Xenopus tropicalis: one gene and its partners. The main gene of each other region encodes a partner of the protein of the gene in region 5 in a complex. Links are inferred from orthologs where the notes say so. Each region holds a gene or a part of one and is shown on either strand. Other genes may lie near its edges.

Region 1 (3,959 bases), on a different chromosome or scaffold from region 5:
CAGCAGATACCAAACAGAAGAATTTGGATAACATCATTCAGTCTGTTCTCTACCTTTTCTCTGACCAATGTTAATGTCTCATTGTGTTGCTGTCTAATTATCCATACTTGTATTGGCAGTTTTGTTATAACACCAGGATGGATACGATATGGAGACTTTTTACAATTCTAACTCCCTCTTCTGCCCAAAAGGGAGGGACCCTTTATCACTGTTCAGGTCTGGAAGCAATTGGAATTTACAGATAATAATGAAATACCCACATCAGTAATACTATATGTAAAGGACAAAATAATCTATTTTATCCACAAACATTTGCCAACAGGAAACTGTTCCCAAAAAATAAACACAGGACATGAAACCACCTTCTGCTCTGATCTGCTTTATGCATCAACCTGGGTGCAGACACACGGAGCAGACTTCAGCACCAAAATGCTTGAGTGTGCATTTTCTTACTTAAATTTACTGTGTCTTCCCCCAGAATGAAGCAGTGCCTCTGGTTGCAAACGCAACATAAGGCAGATTTGAGCAAAAGTGCAGTTTCTTGGCCTGTGCTTATATGCAGGCAGAGAAAACATCTGTGTGGCAGCAGCCTAAAATTGTAACTGATTCTGTTAAATAATGTCTATGTTTTGTGAAGTCTATTACAGTAATTTCCTTTAAAAGTTGCCCATGTTACATATAGAATTGGTGTTCCTTGTACATACAATTAATACGTTTAAGTATAGTATAAGTACTAAAGAGTGACCAAACTCCAGGATTACTTAATCAACATATAGATATTGTTTTCCTGATTACAATGGTTCAATTGATAGATCCTTCCAAATTCTGTCAATTGAACCATTGTTCTGCATCCCCACCCCAGACCTTATAACATGTTATCTACAGCATCAAAAATACAGTCTGGAGAACAGCAACAGTCACATTATTCTGAAAATAATTTTTTTTTTTTTTACCTGAACTTTCAATATTTATTTTATTACTTGAATTGTTCATCTGAAATTCTTCTATGAGTTTTTTCAGGTTGTCAAAAGTCAATGTTGCATCACTTGGTAACCAGTTGATAAATGTTTGTTTTGTATCATCATGAACTTTACAGGCATGGAGGAAAAGAGAAAGTATATCCTTGCTCATGTCATTCTCAAGAGCGTATGAAGGATATCCTTGTGCAAAGTACTGCGTCCCATCACGTTTCACTTTTAGTTTTACAGACCACCAAGGATCTACCAATGGAAAAAATCCACTCACTCGATATTCAGGTCCATATTTATCTTTAATAATCACTATTTAAAAAGAAAAAAAAATACGTAATCAAAAAAACTAACATGCATTAAAATCTGAACGCTCCACAAGGTAAACACATAAGTACGGGCACAACTGTACTCCCCTAGGCCATCTTGATAGGGACCAGTGACTGCAGTCCTGCACATACTATTCATAAGGCTGATATAACTATGCTGTGGCACAGGAATAGATACCAATATACGGTCTGCAAACTGTATATAGAGAAAATACACTCAATCTGCAATGAGCCTCATGGCGAGTTTGGCATAGCATTTACACGCTTAGCAAGAACCATCTGAATAAGTGCAGTTCTATAACTTATCAATACTTAGCAAAATGTTGAAACATAAGTGCTTGACGTTGTAGTGGCATTAACTCAAATGAATTTTTAGCAGACTTATGTAGAAGCATAAAGATCAAAATGATGGAAAGGCCACTTATCCAGAAATCCCCATATCCCAAACATTCTGGAACAGAGATACCATGTGACAAAGTGCCATAGGTGAGTTGTGCTAAACCAGACCATAATATGCCAAACGACATTACATGTCTAGGTTATAACTTTGCAATTTGGTTCTGACTACACACTTCAACGAATGTAACAGCAGAATCAATATTCCAAAGCCTATTATCGTCATACGCTATTAGTTACTTTTAACATTTTAACTGGCCAGGTGCCAAAGGGATATGATTACTGTGGGCTTTATGCCCCAGTATTAGTTCTCAGATCCCAGCCATCATTATTAGCGACAGGAGTGAAGGTTGTCATCTTTAAGGAGACATATTGGATAAATGTGAAATTTTGAAGGCAATTATGAATAATATATGGTGCTCAAATTAATCCTATCTGTAAAAATGACTCCTTTATTGGAGCTCCCTACAGATCCTATCAGTTCTCTGACAATGTATGAAATAAAGGGTGGGCGTGTCCTAAAATCCCTACCAGAAGCACAGCAGGAGAGGGAGAGCCAATCACAGCCCTGCAGTCACAAGCACAGCGGGCTTCAGTTCCCTATCAGGTCAGCCTAGCTGCTGATTGGTTCCTATGGTACAGTGCAGTGTGCTGAGAGGCTCCCCTGCACATCCAGAGAATTCAGCCAGCAGGAAGTGTGAAATACAACTTTTTTAAGCACAATCCTTCTATATCTAGAGGAGTATAAGTCACTGGTACATTCATAATTTTTATAGGCTATGTCTCCTTTAACAGTGAGCCCAAGCAGTAAAATATACCCACCCACAGTTCTGCGCAGCGGGGTAGATTGTACCACCATGCCCCCTCCTTCTATCTCTCTGGCATCCATGAACTGGGGATCATCCCCATCGCTGTCATCGGGATCGCTCTCCTCCCGTTTGTGCGCCACTTCCCCATCTTTCACTGGCAGCAGACGGCCCTGTAGCACCGTGCAGCCATCCCCTCTGCGCCCCCGGGCACTCAGCGAGCGGGACGGGTGAAGCTTTGCGCTCATTTTTGAGTTTCACAAAGATCCGCCTTATTTTCCCGAGAAATGACATCACTGTAAGGGCGGAAGTAAGGGGAAGCAGGTCCGGCTAGTTCTGCCCTGCTTGCTCTGAATGGTAATTCGCAGCATCCTAACTGTAACTATGTATGCTAAGTGTTAAAGCTGATTTCTGAACTGAAGAACAGGATAAAAATAATGGCTCCGGCTCTATCGCGACACATTATAATGAACATTGGTTCTTCTGTACTTACGTGCATGCGTAAAAATGTTTTTTTTTGTGTTACTGATCCTTTAACTACACTAACTTGTTGACCGCACACATACACACATACTAAATTTAGTAATTAAAAATTCTATTTTACATTGCTGGAAATTCAGAACCAGAAAGGGTGGCCCCTCCCCATTTTATGACATATTGTAGCCTAAGCATTTCATAAACACAATATGAGTTCAGTATTTGGAGTACAAGGTTAATAATACGGGAATATCAGAATTGTGTAACCTTCCAGACACTTCTGTACTGCAACTCCCATTATGAGGATCAAGTGGAAGGAAGCACATAGGCAGAACTTATCCCATTCCCTGTCATTCAGATGTGCAAGTTTGGGAGTACCAGTGAGATCAAAGAATCCCTGTAGTGGTATAGCTAAGGACAGGGCTGCCTTGTGCCTCCACAAATAATTAATATAAGACATATACTTTACAATGGAAACCAGAGCAAAGTTCCGTTTCTGACTCTCTCCATTGTATCTATTGAAATATTCTTATAGCATGCTGTAAGAGGAGCACAGGATGAGTGTATTAGGACAAGGGCTTTTGCAAGGACAGGCCTCTCAATTGCACTTTTTCACTAGGCACCTGCCTAGGGCGCAACAGTAGGTGGGCACCAGGCAGGTCCCTCTTTTTTCACTTACCCCTATTTCTGTGCCCTTTACCCCCACCGCACACCCCCTCCAGTGCCCCCACTGGCTGGTGGCTCTCTCAGGCAGGGGAAGCTATAAAAGGGGAAAGCCAGTATAACACTTTCTCTTTACCTGATGAGAAGAGGATAATATGTGATACCAGGGAGCCTGAGTTAGGCCATCTCAGAGAGGTAACTGGCAGAGCTAGTTAGGTAGATAGTGGTAGGTTATATTTGTTGGAGGCTCCAACGAGATGAGAGAGACCTGTGTCCCGGCAGTACCTCACTCAGTTAGGGACCCAAAGGACGAGGGACTA
Region 2 (3,513 bases), on a different chromosome or scaffold from region 5:
AAGTAATAAACTCAATATTATGGGTACTAGGGCTTTTATCTCTGCATATAATAATAGGCACCAGATGCTTGCCTCAGCTGAAACTTCTCACATGCTCAAAACATGGCATATAAACACTATCAGTTAGATAGCAAGTGATACATATGTAACCAAAGGGGGGTACGGATAGGTTAGAAATGTAAAAATAGAGTTGTAGTTGTACTGTTACTATTCAATTCAGTTCCAGTCTAAGGAAACAAATGACAATAAACAGCCACTCTAACAGGGGCTCTCTTCAAAGAAAGTAAAACAGTTACATTTATTCTACATGGTCATTATGAGAATGTGCCCCATGTACTCATGAATTGCATCTTTTAGGTTGATCACCTGCCATCACCATGGTAATTTGGATTTCTTGTGTTTTGGGTGGTGGGTAAAAATTCCCGAAACTGCTTCATGTGCCATTAGCCTAAACAGCTAACAAAACAGCACCATCTAGTGTTTATACAGATATGGAGCTGCTATATTAAAGCTTATTTAGACTGGTTTAGCAATGCTAGCAATATAACAAACTACGGTTAAATGGTTTGTGTCTGAAAGCAAAGCCTTAATTTGTTAAACAGTAAATGCAAATCAATTACAGAAAAAAACTAAAAAAATTTAGGACTGAGGCACAGCCTACTTTAAGGGGCAGATTTACCAAAATGTGAGATTAGAGCTCACCACAGAAAAATGTGCCCACTCTCTATTCATTTCTAATCGGTTTTTAAAAGAGTATTTATAAAATGGTGAACTCTAACTTTCACCCACTGATAAATATGCTTCAAAAAAATCCCAGTGGAATTAATAGAGTGGGTGAATGAGCTCTAATCATACAGTTTGTTAAATCTTTCCCAAAGTCAGCTTCTGATATATAAATTCTTCTACCTGCAAATTATTAAGGGGCAATAGAACTCATTTAACACGAGAAACTGAAATAACAAAACTGCTTTTACTTCAAAGTGCTAATTGATATTTTTCTCATTACTCTTAGGGCTATGGCACACAAGGAGATTTGTTACCCATGGAAAAACCTGCGCTACTCCAGGCAACAAATCTCTTACAAAATGCCTTGCAATTCACTAACCTTCAGATTGCTTCATTTAAAAAACAGATTACATGTGGCAATCCAGTTAATTGCTGGAATATGCTTACTTCCACATTTCTCTGCAATTAAATTGTGATTGGGTAATGTGCTTTACATGCAGAGATCTGAAGGTGAGAATGGTAAGGCATTTTTAGGTGATCTGTTACCCGCGGGTAGGGCAAACTTTCCTGGAGCAACATATCTCATTGCGTGCCATTGCCCTTACTCTCCCCCTTTGACTACTGTAGATTTAAATAATGATCTCTGTATAATAAGCCATCATTTCCCCAATTGCTACATTGTTCAACATAAGTTCCCCTAATTGTTCAACATGAGTTCAATGAAAAGAATTGTGTGCCCAGAACATCCTCCGTTCCAAGTGCTAACAAGGCACCTGTGAGAGCACAAATGGCTTCTTAACAGCATCAGAAAAGGCCTCTTCATACAGGCATATGCTCATGGGCGCCGGCTGGAAGATCATAAATGTGCTAGTGTCAAGGAAAAATTACAGAACAAGAGAACACTTAATACAGTAGGTACGAAGGCTGTCAGGGCCAGGGGCAACAAATAAACACTTATAGGAAAAGGAAAGGTAAAAACTAAGCTTTATCAGAAAGGTCTATGTAAATACAGCCATAAACACTCACAGAAACGCTGCACTGACTTCCCTGTCAAAAGAAACAGAATTCTTTGGTTTTCCTGTGCCAGAGACACACAGCTCTCTCCTCTCCCTCAAGAATGCTAAGAACTCACTCCTCCCGATAAGGAATGTGTGATCTGAGCCAATCAGCAGGAAGCTGACTCGGCATTTATTATGCGTCAAAACTGCAACAAATCTGAAAGTAAAAATACTCCATCTAAAAGCTGTTGAGGTTGCACAGAAATTAATGGCAGCTGTCCATTTTAAGTTGGCTAATCTGTTTGTTCTTATCTTGCTAATCCGCTTGTTTTGAATGTTTTTTCAAAAGGCTGTTTGAATAAATAACTTCGAATTTGTGGTTTTAGAGAAAATGAGCTTATTCGTAGTTTTAAAAATACTTAAAACCACTAAAATGAGATTGCTTTTAAATAAGCCTCTAACTGTTGCCATCTTGCCCTAGCTTGCTCTTCCTATTCACAAATACAGCTCTGCAGGGCCCCACTATGTTTGGAACCTAGCTCAGTCAAAACACTCTCCTTGAGACTAACTGAGCTAAATTCGGTTTTGATGAAGATGTTCAGCTATCCTTCATGCTATAAGGCCTAAAATGCAAGGCAGCACCACACTGGGTGAAGGGCCAGACCACAGGTTGCATAGTTAAATTAAAAAGGATATTAGATTTTTAGATTTTAGATGACATATCAGCTGCTCCAGGCAAAGAAAGCGGCTAAGGGTTGGAACGCAGCCCAACATGATCAGCTTGTGTTTGGCCCGTGTCAGCGCCACATTTAGCCTTCTCCAGTCTTTTAAAAGGTCTCCCAGCTGCTCCAAAAACAAAAAAAAATTGTTAGATCAAGAAGAAAAAATAAATAAATAATGCTGTCTCATGAGGAGTTTTATAAAGCGTATTTGCCATTTTATGTATAAATATATTATAAATGTGCGTGTGGTCATGGATCACTAGCCCCTTTCCCGACTGCATCTCCTACTTTCCGCAAAATAACAGTTTGCAGAGTAGCACAACATTGTTGATGGCCTCCATGTGAGGCCCGGCCATATACTTTCCAAGTTTTGCCTGTGCTGATCAGTGACTGTCACACTGGAATCAAGAATTAAAATACTAATGTAGGGAGTTTACTTGTAGTATGGCACGATCATAGCAATGTTTCACACTACATAAGTACTTTTTCAAGCTGACTTTATTAATCCTCTCTCAATTTGGGCAACGTGGCCAGCTCCCCTTCTCCCCCTCATGCACATGCGTGAATGTGAACGTACCAGTGGGCACTGGGGGGGGGGGGGGTGGGGGGAGGAAAGGCATGTGTCTAGTACCCCACCTCTTCTGCCTACACCTAGTTCCGGCCCTGGTCTGAAACATTGCTGTAATCATGCCATACTACAAGTAATGGTGGTTTTATGGTAATTTTAGGGAAAGCTGCATCATTTTGCTTTTAATATCCAGTCTACCTAATTCATTTTAAGCCCAGGAATGGGGGCCAGCCTCACGATTGGAGAACCACTGGTATATACTACGTAGCGGCATCAGCAAACAGTTTTATTTTTTCTATTTTTTGGGGACCCAGAAACCATGGGGTTAAATCCCCTCCCATCAGGAGCCAGAAATGTAACCCTCCCACCCCTATAACCCCCTTCCCAATCCCAGGCACTTCAGTTTTTTGAATGTCCTCGCAAACAGGAGGTTGGACAACAGTCTCCAGGAGACTTATGGCTTGAGAACATCCGGGGTGGTACCTGAGGGAGCCTGTGC
Region 3 (4,162 bases), on a different chromosome or scaffold from region 5:
GAAATTTACACCAGATATTGGTAACAACCCAAGAAATCCACACATACAAAGAAATCAAAACAAATAAGTCTTTAAATTAAGTTATGTGTAATAAAGTGGAATGACACAGGGAATAAGTATTGAACACATGAAGAAGAGGCATGGAAAGCAAAGAAACCTGCTGACATTTGTCAGTATTTTGAAAGCAATCCTGCCCCCTATCAGTGCAAAATAATTTCAGCTGGCTTAGTCCTAATAAATGGTTTCTCATTACCAAGGTATCACACAAGAAGCATCTCATGATGGGTAATAGCAAAGAGCTCTCTCAAGACCTTTGCAACCTTATTGTTGCAATACATACTGATGGCATTAGTTATAGATGTATTTCTAAGCTTCTGAATGTTCCAGTGAGCACAGTTGGGGCCATAACCCGGAAGAGGAAAGAACATCATTTCACATTAAAAGGGCACGACCAGGTGTTCCTCCCAATATTTCTGACAGAGTAATCAAAAGAATAATCAGAAAAATTGTCCAAGAGCCAAGGATCACTCATGGAGAGCTTCAGAAACACCTTGTACAGTTGTTTAAAAAAAACAATAAGTAATGCACTCAACCAACATGGCCTCTTTGCAGGCTCAACGCGCAAGACACCACTGCTAAAGAAAAAACATGTTGAAGCTTGGTCAGATGAAAAAATGACACTGCACATCACATCATTTCAAATGAAAGGTGGGCATGTCCTGACAGAGACCTGAGATGATCTATAGGGAGCTCCAATAAAGGGGCCATTTTTGACAGTGTTCAATTTAGCCAAAAGTGAAATCAGCACCATATATTATTCATAATTGCCTACAAAATTGGGGTTTTTTCAATGTTTCCAATATGTCTCCTTTAAGCTGAAAGTATTTATCAGAAAGGGAAAGGTCTATAAAAACACTGCACTGAGTTCTCTCAAAAGAAACAGGATTTGTTGTCTTTGTTTTCCTGTGCCAGAGACATGCAGCTCTCTCCCCCTCCCTCAAGAATGCTAAGAACTCACTTCCCCCCCCCCCTCTTAGAAATGTGTGATCTGAGCCAATCAGTAGGAAACTTCCTCATCGTCTTACAAACTGAGCATGTACAATGGTCTCGGTCCAGGAGTGAGGAATTATGGGAACTTTCTTTTCAAAGCTTAGATTTTTTTTTTCCTATGAGGTTTCTGATCATCTGAACAGGAGAAATATGGGGGGACTTAAAGGCACTATTGAGAAAACTGAAGGTATGCCTGCAGCTTGAAATTAACTATTAGCCTTTCCTTCTCATTTAAAGGGAAACGAAAGGTAAAATCACTTGGGGGTGCCAAAATGTTAGGCACCCCAAGTGACTTTAACCGCTTACCTCGTACCCCGGGCTGGTGCCCCTGTTAGGAGAAAATAGCACCAGCCCGGGGCACCTGGAGCGGATCGTTTCCTTATTCCGGCTTCCGTTTCTGGAATGCCAGCGGTGGGCGAATGCGCAGTAGAGTGAAAAGCCGACTTTAAAGTTTAAGTTCGGCTTTTCACTCTACTGCGCATGCACGCGCAGCGAATCAGGCAGAGGCAAGCGCCGGCAGCTACCCCGGGCTGGTGCTGTTCCCTCCTCACAGGGGCACCAGCCCGGGGTAAAATGTAGGTGGTCAAAGTCACTTGGGGGTGCCTAACATTTTGGCACCCCCAAGTGACTTTGACTTTCTTTTTCCTTTAAGCCCATTTATTCAATTTCAATACACAGAGACATGTAACATCACAAAGTTTCTTCCCTATCTATGCACCTTACACTATATTACCTGTACATGGAATTGCAAATAAAAGCAGTAATTCTCTATCCCTTTCTATTGTCTGGGTCTTAAGCTGGCCATACACGTGGCAATCTGACGATGTTTCGTGCAACCATCGGTAAGGAGGTAGAAACAATAGGATTTCTACCTCCTTCTGCTCCTTCTGCTGATTCAGCGCTGAAGGGAGATTTTGGTCAGGCGCCTTCTATGGCGCCCAATCAAAATTTTCAAACTGGTCCGATCGGCGAGTCGGCCGATATCAGCAGCTTCCTGCGATATCGGTCGACTCGCCGACATACCATACACGCACCGAATATCGTACGAAACGAGGTTTCGTACGATATTATTGGTGCGTGTATGGCCACCTTTACTCTTAAAACAATGTTACAGGGTCAGGTCTCCTCTAGGTATTTTTATCCAGCTGCCTTGTATTATTGCTCCAAAATCAAAGCCAGGAGTGCAGAGAATGTAAGCAAGACAAATAAAGCTTTTTAGATATTACATTAACAAATCACTTTAAAACTACTGAAAGTTTGTAAATAAAGTATATTGGACAGTTAATTAGAATTGCATTACCTTTCTATAAGCAAAACAAGTTTTTGAAAGGAGAACCCCTTCAATCTTCATTTAGAGAACTTCCTCTTGCACTACAGCTTAAAAAAAAAAAATTAAAAAAATAGTCATAATGCGTATTTGAAAGTATTGTTACCAGTTCAGTAGAGACCCATAATATGCATTTCTATGGATTAATGCATTCGTGTAGGTCAAATTTTAACAACTAGCCAATTAAAATTGTTAAGCATTAATGCCTCTAAATGACGACTGCATGTACGTTCGTGCTGATCCAAAGGCATATTCAAGACAACTTATTTGGAGGTTTTTGGTCTTAAAGTAACGAGTTGTACCATCTTACGCTTTAGTCTAAACGTTCTCCTTTTCAGAAAAAGGATATACTATCAACTAATTTTAAAGGTCGGCCCCGCTCACATACCGCCCAATAGTCCCGCTTTTAGCTGGACAGGTCCGCTTCTCTTAACTCAGCCCTCAGTCCCGACTCGGTCTTAAACGGTTTCCAAAAGCCATTTATATATCTAGTTCCTGTGGCCGTGAGTGACGTCACAAACACGTGAAGACGTGGCGACGTCTCCAACACGTAACATTCAGCGCCTTCTTCAAATGCCTGTGTAAATAGATTATAGGTGGTTACTCGGGGATGCTATGGAGAGAATGGCTCATTAAAAGTAGTGTCACAGTGCGCTATTGAGTATTGGGTTGCGCTGGGTAGCATTATTTTTTTCTTGGGACAGAATTAAATGTAGGAGTTTATTCAGTTGCCTGAATACTGGGACACTTGATGTTCAGTGGAGGCTGTGGATCTATTCTATGTAAGGTGTGTGCCCTTAATTTTAGGGGGTTGTTGGAGCCTGCTTATATGTGGAGTGCTTGTATTTTTTGGGGTAAGGGTGCTGATGAGTTTTGGGGGTGTGCATTTTTTTGAAGGGTGGTTATTGATTTTTTTTTTCCAGCTGGGTTGACGTGTTGCACAATTTTAAACTATGGGGAAGAGTTTTGGAGTGTGCTTATGTTTTTGGCATGTTAGATAATTTTGGGGGAGGTTTTGTGTATGTAACCCCTTTTTGGCTAAAAAGCACTTTAAATGCCAGGCTATGGTTAGAGCATGGGGCACATTGGGACTCTATTTCAAAGGGGTGGCCTTCGCTAAGTGGAAGGCAAAATATACGAAAAAGTCGCAAAATGTTCGTTTCCAATCCGAATTTTTCCCATTCGAATTCGTGGATTAGTAAATCAGCCCCCTAGAGTGTGCTATGACAGAGTCTAGTCCTGAGACTAACTTTACCTCGTTCACGGGGCCCTGTCCCCGACTTTACTTCAAAGAATATGGCTTACTGGGGCCTATGTCTGCACCCAGGCTCAATGGAGCTGTTGTTGGGAAGCAGACAGGCAGCCACACCTCCTTGCTAGACATTATATGAGGCTGCAAGGAGTGTGGACAACCATATGGGCCAATAAAGTATAGGCATAACTATAAACTGTTACAAAGGCTTCCAGTAACAAGGGATCTATGTGAAGAGGTAGGGATATCACTCCATAGGGCATTTAACCCTATGGGTCCCTACATTTGCTTAAAATTTCGGTTGTGCTTTTTTTTTTTACCCAGAATATTGAGGGGAGATTGTGTTAGTAATATGGGTGGCATAAGTATTTAGATGTGCTAGTGGGGGAGGTACAGTGTGTGGTGAGATTACATGAGCTGTGGTAGGTTTATGTCTGTGGGGGTATTTGACTCTAGAGCAGTGTGTAGGGAAACTAGACCTACCTATGATGTGAGTGGGCTGTGGCAGCAGGTGAGGTCTGTAGTTATAAATG
Region 4 (4,188 bases), on a different chromosome or scaffold from region 5:
CTTCCACCCAATAATAACTGCACTGGCATTTTTGTGCCTATAGCATTGTATTTCTATTTATATATGAACACTACAATGTACAACATTATCTCCAAAAATACCAAAACCAGGATTTATGTAGCTAATAAAATAAACAGCCATTCAGCATTCAAGTGGTATGGTTGCCAATATGTAATGGAACAGAGGTACTATCCCCAAGCCACATATAAGAGGTGCAGAGCTTCTATATTACAGCATCACGTTCGCTAGCAAATGTATAGTTAGTGTTTCTTTAAAGGCGTAGTTCACCATTAATTTAATGTTTTGTGAATTAAAGAATGCCATGTTATTAGCAATTTTTCAGTTGGTCTACATTTTTTATTGTTTTTATTTGCCTTATTTTGGCAATTTTATTATCGCTGTTATTTTAAATTGGAGAGCTGCTGAAAAAAAAGTTAAAATATTTAAAATCCACAAAATAAAAGATTTAAGACTAATTGCAAATTGTCTAAGTATATCACTGGCTACATCCTAATAAATGTTAACTGAAAGGTAAACTAACTAAAACAAAGCAGATCAGTGAGGTTTTATTACTACTTATTTATTTAGGGATTAGTTTTTTCCAGGTACGTCATTTAGGCCACTGGCTGCCAGGTTAAATGGGACCTAGCCATCAGGTAACATTAAATTCCCAATATGTGTGTGAAACAGCTAATTGTAAACCTCGGTGAGAGCAGATTTTTAACAAAGCAGGTTTTCAGAAAACTGCGAGCACCACTTATCTGTCACTTTAATTCCATTAAGAAAATTGCATAATATGGCGGTTAGAAGTTTCTAAAACATGCTCGAGAAAACCTAGTAACAGTGCTACCTGTAGCAAAAACAGGAATCAGCGACACAGTTGCATACATATGACCAGTTTGGCCTGAAAATTTGATCGAATTTAACCTTAATGCCCAACTGTATGGGTGTATTTGTTACTATTGGATTGCAGAAAGTCTGCTCAGACAGTGTATGAAATCTGCCTATGCACAAAACATTACCAATATGCCTACGCAGCAAACATTACCGATTTTAAACGCTGTCGGCGAATATGGATCCCAAAAGATTTCATGTTGTTGATCAATGTCATTGGAGGGAGAATTGAAAGCTGGAGAGGAGTGTTTGCTTCTAGACAACCTTTTTGGAGTTTTCTTGTACGAAGTTGATTCTACGGGAACGGTTAAAGAGAAACAAACACTATTAAGCGATGCACTCATCACACTAGAAACACAATGGGCTGTATATGAATGAATCAAAAACTGACAGAACTCAGTATTATATCTTTATATTGCATTACAAATACAGTACATGTTCTGTAGTACCCTTAAAGGAGAAGGAAAGGCTAAGTCACTTGGGGGTGCCAAAATGTTAGGCACCCCCAAGTGACTTAGATCGCTTACATTTTACCCCGGGCTGGTGCCCCTGTACGGAGAGAACAGCACCAGCCCGGGGTAGCAGCGAGCGCTTCCTCCTTCCTGTAGCGCCGCGCGCGCATGCGCAGTAGAGTGAAAAGCCAAACTTAAACAAGAAAGTCGGCTTTTCACTCTACTGCGCATGCGCCGGCCCACGGATTTCGCCGGCAGAAGAGAGAGGAAGAGGAAACACTCCCTGCAGGTACCCCGGGCTGGTGCTGTTTTCTCCTAACAGGGGCACCAGCCCAGGATACAAGGTAAGCGATTAAAGTCACTTGGGGGTGCCTAACATTTGGCACCCCCAAGTGACTTAGGCTTTCCTTCTCCTTTCATTAAAGGAGACATATCCTATAAAAATAATGAATGTACCAATGAATTATACTCCTCTAGATATAGAAGGATTGTGCTTAAAAAAGTTGTGTTTCTGACTGATTTATTGAGAAATTCGCCCAAAACCCCACTAGCCCCGCCCATCTGTTCCACTTCCTGCTGGCTAAATTCTCTGGATGAGCTGGGGAGCCGGCGGCCCTCCGTACCCTGCACTGTAGGATAGGAACCAATCAGCAGCTAGGCTGACCTGATAGGGAACTGAAGCCTGTCTTTGCTTGTGTGACTGCAGGGCTGTGATTGGCTCTCCCCCTCTTACTGTGCTTCTGGCAGGGACCGTTAGGACACGCCCACCCTTCATTTGAAACACAGATATGGACCTGAGTGGATCTATAGGGAGCTCCAATAATGTTTAGCCCAAAGTGAAACCAACACCATATATTATTCATAACTGCCTACAGGGTTAGGGTTTTCCCATTTATCCAAGTAAAGTAAAAGTTCCTATAATGTATATGAGACTTAGACCAAGGGAAGAAGTACAGAAGAACCAAGGAGATGGCAGGACTCTTATTATGCACGTCTGCAGGTCAGGCTGTCAGTAGTAGGGTAGGCCTGTCCTGCACAGAGGCAACTCCAGAGGACGGCCATAGGGACTGTTCCTCTAGGTACAAATCTCTCCCTCCCCAGAAGCTCTCCTGGGGTTCAGGGTCCCCCTGGCTTGCGGCTAAGGGATGGATGGGGGCAGGGCACAGCGATACCAACACTGGCAGCAGTGAAACGCTCTTCTCTAACTAAATAAGCGATTTTTTCTTTAAAACTAACAGAGCAGCTTTACCCTCCGCACATAAACCCGCAGCAGATTTACAATCTTCCAGGCACCGGAAGTAGAGTCTTTCAACCCATTTACAATAGAGAGCGAACCGCTGCAGAGAAATGCCTACCCCCGGAAAGTGCCGCTTCCTGCGGGGCAGTCCCAACTTTCCTTACACAGCCCGCAGCCCCGCACCGCTGCTTAAACATCCCGCTACTCCGGTAACATCCAGCTCAGCAGCTCCTGCCTGGCACCGAGTACTGACGTCACAAGTCTCATCTCGCGAGAGTGCGGCGCACGAATACGTCTATAAGCGCGGTGACGCGGTACGTACAGCTTTGTTAGGGAATGAGGGCAATCCTCTGTATGTGTTATGTAATGACAAGCCGGTAGTTTGCTGTGTGTATGGCAGGCTGTGGCTACTTTCTATGTATTTTGGGTTTTTTTTCCCAATAATATGCCCACTGACTCAGCTACAAATATATGACTTAAACTTAGCACTTTATGTTTTCTCAATAGAACAAATAACCTACATTTTTTCTTTGCCAGGTGGGTACTGGCTATAACTCAATGGCTTCCACTGGAGTCTTTGCCTCACTAAAGGGCAATACACATTATAGGGCTGATTTACTAAGACACGAATTTGAATCCGAATGGGAAAAATTCCGATTGTAAAACGAACGTTTTGCGAGTTTTTCGTACTTTTTGCGATTTTTTCGTAAATTGTCGCGACTTTTTCGTAGCCGTTACGACTTGCACGAATAGTCGCCACTTTTTCGTAGCCGTTACGATATGCTCGTATCTTGTCGCAACTTTTTCGTATTGAGCGCTCGTAACCTGCGGGCAAAACTTTCAGACTTAGCATGATTTTGGAAGCCTCCCATAGAGCTCAATGACACTCTGCAGCTCCAACCCGGCCCAAGGAAAGTCTCCCATAGGGCTCAATGGCACTCTGCAGCTCCAACCTGGCCCAAGGAAAGTCTCCCATAGGGCTCAATGGCACTCTGCAGCTCCAACCCGGCCCAAGGAAAGTCACCCATAGGGCTCAATGGCACTCTGTAGCTCCAACCTGGCCCAAGGAAAGTCACCCATAGGGCTCAATGGCACTCTGCAGCTCCAACCTGGCCCAAGGAAAGTCTCCCATAGGGCTCAATGGCACTCTGTAGCTCCAACCTGGCCCAAGGAAAGTCTCCCATAGGGCTCAATGGCACTCTGCAGCTCCAACCCGGCCCAAGGAAAGTCTCCCATAGGGCTCAATGGCACTCTGCAGCTCCAACCTGGCCCAAGGAAAGTCTCCCATAGGGCTCAATGGCACTCTGCAGCTCCAACCCGGCCCAAGGAAAGTCACCCATAGGGCTCAATGGCACTCTGTAGCTCCAACCTGGCCCAAGGAAAGTCACCCATAGGGCTCAATGGCACTCTGCAGCTCCAACCTGGCCCAAGGAAAGTCTCCCATAGGGCTCAATGGCACTCTGCAGCTCCAACCTGGCCCAAGGAAAGTCTCCCATAGAGCTCAATGGCACTCTGCAGCTCCAACCTGGCCCAAGGAAAGTCTCCCATAGAGCTCAATGGCACTCTGCAGCTCCAACCTGGCCCAAGGAAAGTCTCCCATAGAGC
Region 5 (3,513 bases):
CCTTTTCTGTAAAACAGATTATATGCAAAAACAATTCAATATAATGCAAATAAAAGTTTAACCCTTGAGGAGAACGGCACTTACTTGGACTGGTAAGGATTGAGACTTGCAATAGGCACTACCTTGGACTGAGAGCCCCCAGGTGTGTTTACAACACTTCCCCCCCCAAACAATTTAGATGCTCCTCTGTTCATTGATGGAGGAGGAGGAGCTGTGGGAAGAAAAAAAATCCATAGCAAACTCTTAGGGATGATTACAAAGTAAAACAGAGTACTTAAAGATGTAGAACTATTAGACACACATAACAAAAGTGCACTGGTCAACCCTCCAGTCAGAAACCGCATAAGCTTTTATGTCTCCATAATACATTGAAGTAAAAATAACTAAAGAGCCCACAAGGCCCAAGAGGAATCATGCAGATAAAATAAAGAGCTATCCAGGGGCCTAGCAGAGGAAGATTAGATAGCATACTCACATACACAGTAAGGCTGCCTGCAATGCAGATAATTATGGGGAATTCAGCTTAGAAAGGGCCACTGTATATCTCTGGATGTTTAACCACAAGGCTTCCACAGCCTTAGCATGTAGCCTTTACACTTAAGGGCTCTGGCACACGGGGAGATTAGTTGCCCGCGACAAAACTCCCTGTTCGCAGGCGACTAATCTCCCCGAGTTGCCTTACCCTGCCATCCCACCAGCGAAAATGTAAATCGCCGGTGGGATGGCACATGCAGCTGCGCGATTTTGCGCAAATCGCCTAGAAAGCCTCGCGAGGCAACTTCGGCGATATGCGCCGCCGCGTGTGCCATCCCACTGGCGATTTACATTTTCGCCGGTGGGATGGCAGGGTAAGGCAACTCGGGGAGATTAGTCGCCCGCGTACAGGGAGTTTTGTCGCGGGCGACTAATCTCCCCATGTGCCAGAGCCCTAAAGGGACAGTATATGCCACTTTTCAACATGAGCTGAATGAACAGGGCTTGTGCTGAACATGCTCTTTGCCTATTGTCTGGAATTAAGAATCTATAGTTGCTGTTATTTATGGTACTGAACAAGAAATATGAAGCCAGTTTCACTTTGGAATCATGAAGTGACAGCAAGTACTAAAGAACCTTAGAGGAGGTGATAAAACAGAAACCCCCTGATAATAAGCTGCTCAAAGACTGCTGCTTAAAGAAGGGAGGGGTTTTTTGTTAAAGGAAAGATTGGGAGCTTTAAGCGAATTGTCCTGTTTATAAAAGGTAATACAATGAAAATAGACCAAGTTTCAATATAAGTGCTTTATAATGGCAACATTTTTAAATAAAATGACATTTAAATTTATAAAGTGATCACTTTTAGCAAAGGATGTAAACATAGCACACAAACATAGCACTATATACAGAATAATCAAGGTAATTTCCATAGAGAATGACCATTTTTTAAGTTTGCCCCAAAGCTTCCATTTACAGGTGCAGCTAACATCCTGCAATACAAAACATGGCGGAATACTAAAGTTGGTTTGTAAGAATGGCCATTGATTATTAAGTAAAAATATTAAAGAACTAGGCCAGCCACAACCCTAGTTTTGGAGTTGCCCCCATTTGATGCGAGGCAAAGCCCTTCAACAATGAAGCTGTGTAGGGTGCCAAGTGATCACAGGCCAAATTCAGAAACTTTCCATTAAGATTATAGTAGTACTTTAAATGCATTGCCTACTTTAAATGCCTTTCACTGCTAGCCACATGGAAATCCTGAACAAAGAAGCAATCATTTAATGTATTTTTTTGTAGTAGGGCGGAACACATACAATTCTGCTAACAGATACGGACCTTGTTGCCATACAACAGCAGAACAATACTTTACAATACACTTTTACTACAAAAAAAATTTTCATGTGTATACAAGTTAACAGCAGAGTACAAAATCTGCAAATAACCCAAAATTGCATTCAACACTCTCCTCACTAATTCTTCCAGCCCCCCAGTACTGACTGAAATGATGTCTGGGTACTTTCCAAAGTAGAAATTGTACAGTTCATTTTACAGAATAAAGGAGAACATTTTTCACATTACATTTAGGCTTACCTGAAATGTTCTGTGGTTTGCTAGGCGGTGGGGCTGAAGCTGGAGCAGGTGCAGCAGGCTGTGGTGGTCCTTGCCCTGAAAAATATCAACTCTTTGTAAAACCATACCAGATGGCAGATGACAAACATTCCCTGTATAGTAAACACATTCTAAAAATGTACTTCCAGCACAAGCAATAATGACAAGTGAGTTGTAACGTAGAACAGGCAGTAAGAATGAATATAGGCTACAAGGTCCTTTATGAGAAGTCTCCTATCAAAAGTAGCATTCATTTATAGCAACATTAGACACTCTCACATTCAGGTTCAGTATATGACACCTGCAATAAATATTCAGTTCTCCAAATGAACACACTAGTACATGGAGGAGATGCTCCTAAGACTGGCTTGCAACATACAAAAATACAGACAGCACTATACTGCTGAATGGACCTAACCTGATGGCACGTTAAAAACAAGCAGCTCTCCTGTAGCCAAAGCACCATTTCCCACAATGCCTTGCACCCTAGTTAGCCTCACCCTCACGTCTGTTACCTACAGAACATGTACAGCATTGTAGGAATGGGAATCCTGGCGTAAAAGAGTCAACCGAAAAGCTTTTGTTGGTTTGAGTTCAGAGCAAGTAGCAAAAGCAAAGTAAGGAGCAAATTTCATTCAGTTGCTGTAACATTTGTAGATAACCAAGATCATTTGAAATATTTTAATTAATGCATACTGGAAAATTGCTTAGAATTACATTTTCTTTCATTATGCAAGACAAATTTGGGGGTGAACTTGACCTTTTAATATAGCCATTAAGTCTATATCTTCCCTATAAGTATAATATTTCAAACCTTGGCTATTCACTTATGATCTAAATTCTATACTTTAATAATAATAAAAATTTAGTCTTAATCATTATCGATTGTTGCCACATGAAAATGACTCAACAGTGAAGCCACCCTAAAATGTACGTCACATTCTATTTCAAAGGTAACAACTTAAAATGATACATTTCTGTAACACAAGGAAGCAGATGGCTTTGAATAACAGATGTAGCAATATGCAGACAGCACAGTCGCAGATGAGTTATCGTGGGGTTCAAAATCAATACATAATCACATTCGTTCAACTGCCAAGAACAGTAGCAGGAATACGGACCGGTAAACAAATAAAACTCACAGCACGAATCTGACAATTCTATCAAACGTGTAAATGAGGTTAATGGACCTAATAATTTTTCTGAACAGGTGGCAAATATCTTGAGTCACTAAAGGCTTGCAGGGTAGAGGCTCTATTGCTAAAGATTTTATGGTTTCAGGGTGGTGACACAAAGATAAATACTTTTCCTAAATCCGTAAAAGAAATTAAAAATTCTATTTGTGCTGAACCCAGAGTACTACTGTTAACTTGCAAGATATAACACATAACTGGATTTTAACCTTTACTGGAAACCTCCAACCAACATTAT

What was found.
Region 1: the proteins of rpa1 (region 5) and helb are in contact, whole or in part, in a crystal structure (PDB 7XV1), measured with the Homo sapiens proteins. The link is inferred for Xenopus tropicalis from reciprocal best matches to the Homo sapiens genes RPA1 and HELB. Residues at the interface, in NP_002936.1 of Homo sapiens: Asn29, Ile30, Arg31, Ile33, Arg41, Arg43, Leu44, Leu45, Ser54, Ser55, Met57, Ala59, Thr60, Gln61, Arg81, Ile83, Asn85, Leu87, Arg91, Val93, Ile95, Met97, Glu120; in NP_001357214.1 of Homo sapiens: Glu496, Glu499, Val500, Lys502, Ala503, Cys504, Asp506, Phe507, Glu508, Asp510, Asn512, Ala513, Glu516, Trp517, Thr519.
Region 2: the proteins of rpa1 (region 5) and dna2 are in contact, whole or in part, in a crystal structure (PDB 5EAY), measured with the Homo sapiens proteins. The link is inferred for Xenopus tropicalis from reciprocal best matches to the Homo sapiens genes RPA1 and DNA2. Residues at the interface, in NP_002936.1 of Homo sapiens: Asn29, Ile30, Arg31, Ile33, Arg41, Arg43, Leu44, Leu45, Ser54, Ser55, Met57, Asn85, Leu87, Lys88, Arg91, Val93, Ile95; in NP_001073918.2 of Homo sapiens: Glu6, Leu7, Glu8, Leu10, Met11, Lys13, Ser14, Phe15, Trp16.
Region 3: the proteins of rpa1 (region 5) and rad9a are in contact, whole or in part, in a crystal structure (PDB 8JZY), measured with the Homo sapiens proteins. The link is inferred for Xenopus tropicalis from reciprocal best matches to the Homo sapiens genes RPA1 and RAD9A. Residues at the interface, in NP_002936.1 of Homo sapiens: Asn29, Arg31, Ile33, Arg41, Arg43, Leu44, Leu45, Ser54, Ser55, Phe56, Met57, Asn85, Leu87, Lys88, Asp89, Arg91, Val93; in NP_004575.1 of Homo sapiens: Asp297, Phe298, Ala299, Asn300, Asp301, Asp302, Ile303, Asp304, Tyr306, Met307, Ile308, Met310.
Region 4: the proteins of rpa1 (region 5) and etaa1 are in contact, whole or in part, in a crystal structure (PDB 8JZV), measured with the Homo sapiens proteins. The link is inferred for Xenopus tropicalis from reciprocal best matches to the Homo sapiens genes RPA1 and ETAA1. Residues at the interface, in NP_002936.1 of Homo sapiens: Arg31, Ile33, Thr34, Pro39, Arg41, Arg43, Ser54, Ser55, Met57, Asn85, Leu87, Arg91, Arg92, Val93, Ile95; in NP_061875.2 of Homo sapiens: Thr599, Trp600, Glu601, Ala602, Asp606, Asp607, Leu609, Leu610, Tyr611, Ala613, Cys614, Asp615.

Annotation. Positions count from the first base shown.
Region 1 is NC_030679.2:58,060,700-58,064,658, reverse strand, and holds the start of helb (DNA helicase B), read right to left. Parts: upstream 2,806-3,959; 5' UTR 2,748-2,805; coding exon 2,516-2,747; intron 1,281-2,515; coding exon 954-1,280; intron 1-953.
Region 2 is NC_030683.2:40,341,787-40,345,299, reverse strand, and holds part of dna2 (DNA replication ATP-dependent helicase/nuclease DNA2), read right to left. Parts: intron 2,568-3,513; coding exon 2,421-2,567; intron 1,591-2,420; coding exon 1,546-1,590; 3' UTR 1-1,545. UniProt on the Homo sapiens protein: Key enzyme involved in DNA replication and DNA repair in nucleus and mitochondrion.
Region 3 is NC_030683.2:57,498,398-57,502,559, reverse strand, and holds the start of rad9a (cell cycle checkpoint control protein RAD9A), read right to left. Parts: upstream 2,807-4,162; 5' UTR 2,766-2,806; intron 2,428-2,765; 5' UTR 2,351-2,427; intron 1-2,350. UniProt on the Homo sapiens protein: Component of the 9-1-1 cell-cycle checkpoint response complex that plays a major role in DNA repair. The 9-1-1 complex is recruited to DNA lesion upon damage by the RAD17-replication factor C (RFC) clamp loader complex.
Region 4 is NC_030681.2:30,919,081-30,923,268, forward strand, and holds the start of etaa1 (ewing's tumor-associated antigen 1), read right to left. Parts: upstream 2,814-4,188; 5' UTR 2,781-2,813; coding exon 2,702-2,780; intron 1,190-2,701; coding exon 1,049-1,189; intron 1-1,048. UniProt on the Homo sapiens protein: Replication stress response protein that accumulates at DNA damage sites and promotes replication fork progression and integrity.
Region 5 is NC_030678.2:36,031,575-36,035,087, forward strand, and holds part of rpa1 (replication protein A 70 kDa DNA-binding subunit), read right to left. Parts: intron 2,140-3,513; coding exon 2,065-2,139; intron 212-2,064; coding exon 85-211; intron 1-84. UniProt on the Homo sapiens protein: As part of the heterotrimeric replication protein A complex (RPA/RP-A), binds and stabilizes single-stranded DNA intermediates that form during DNA replication or upon DNA stress.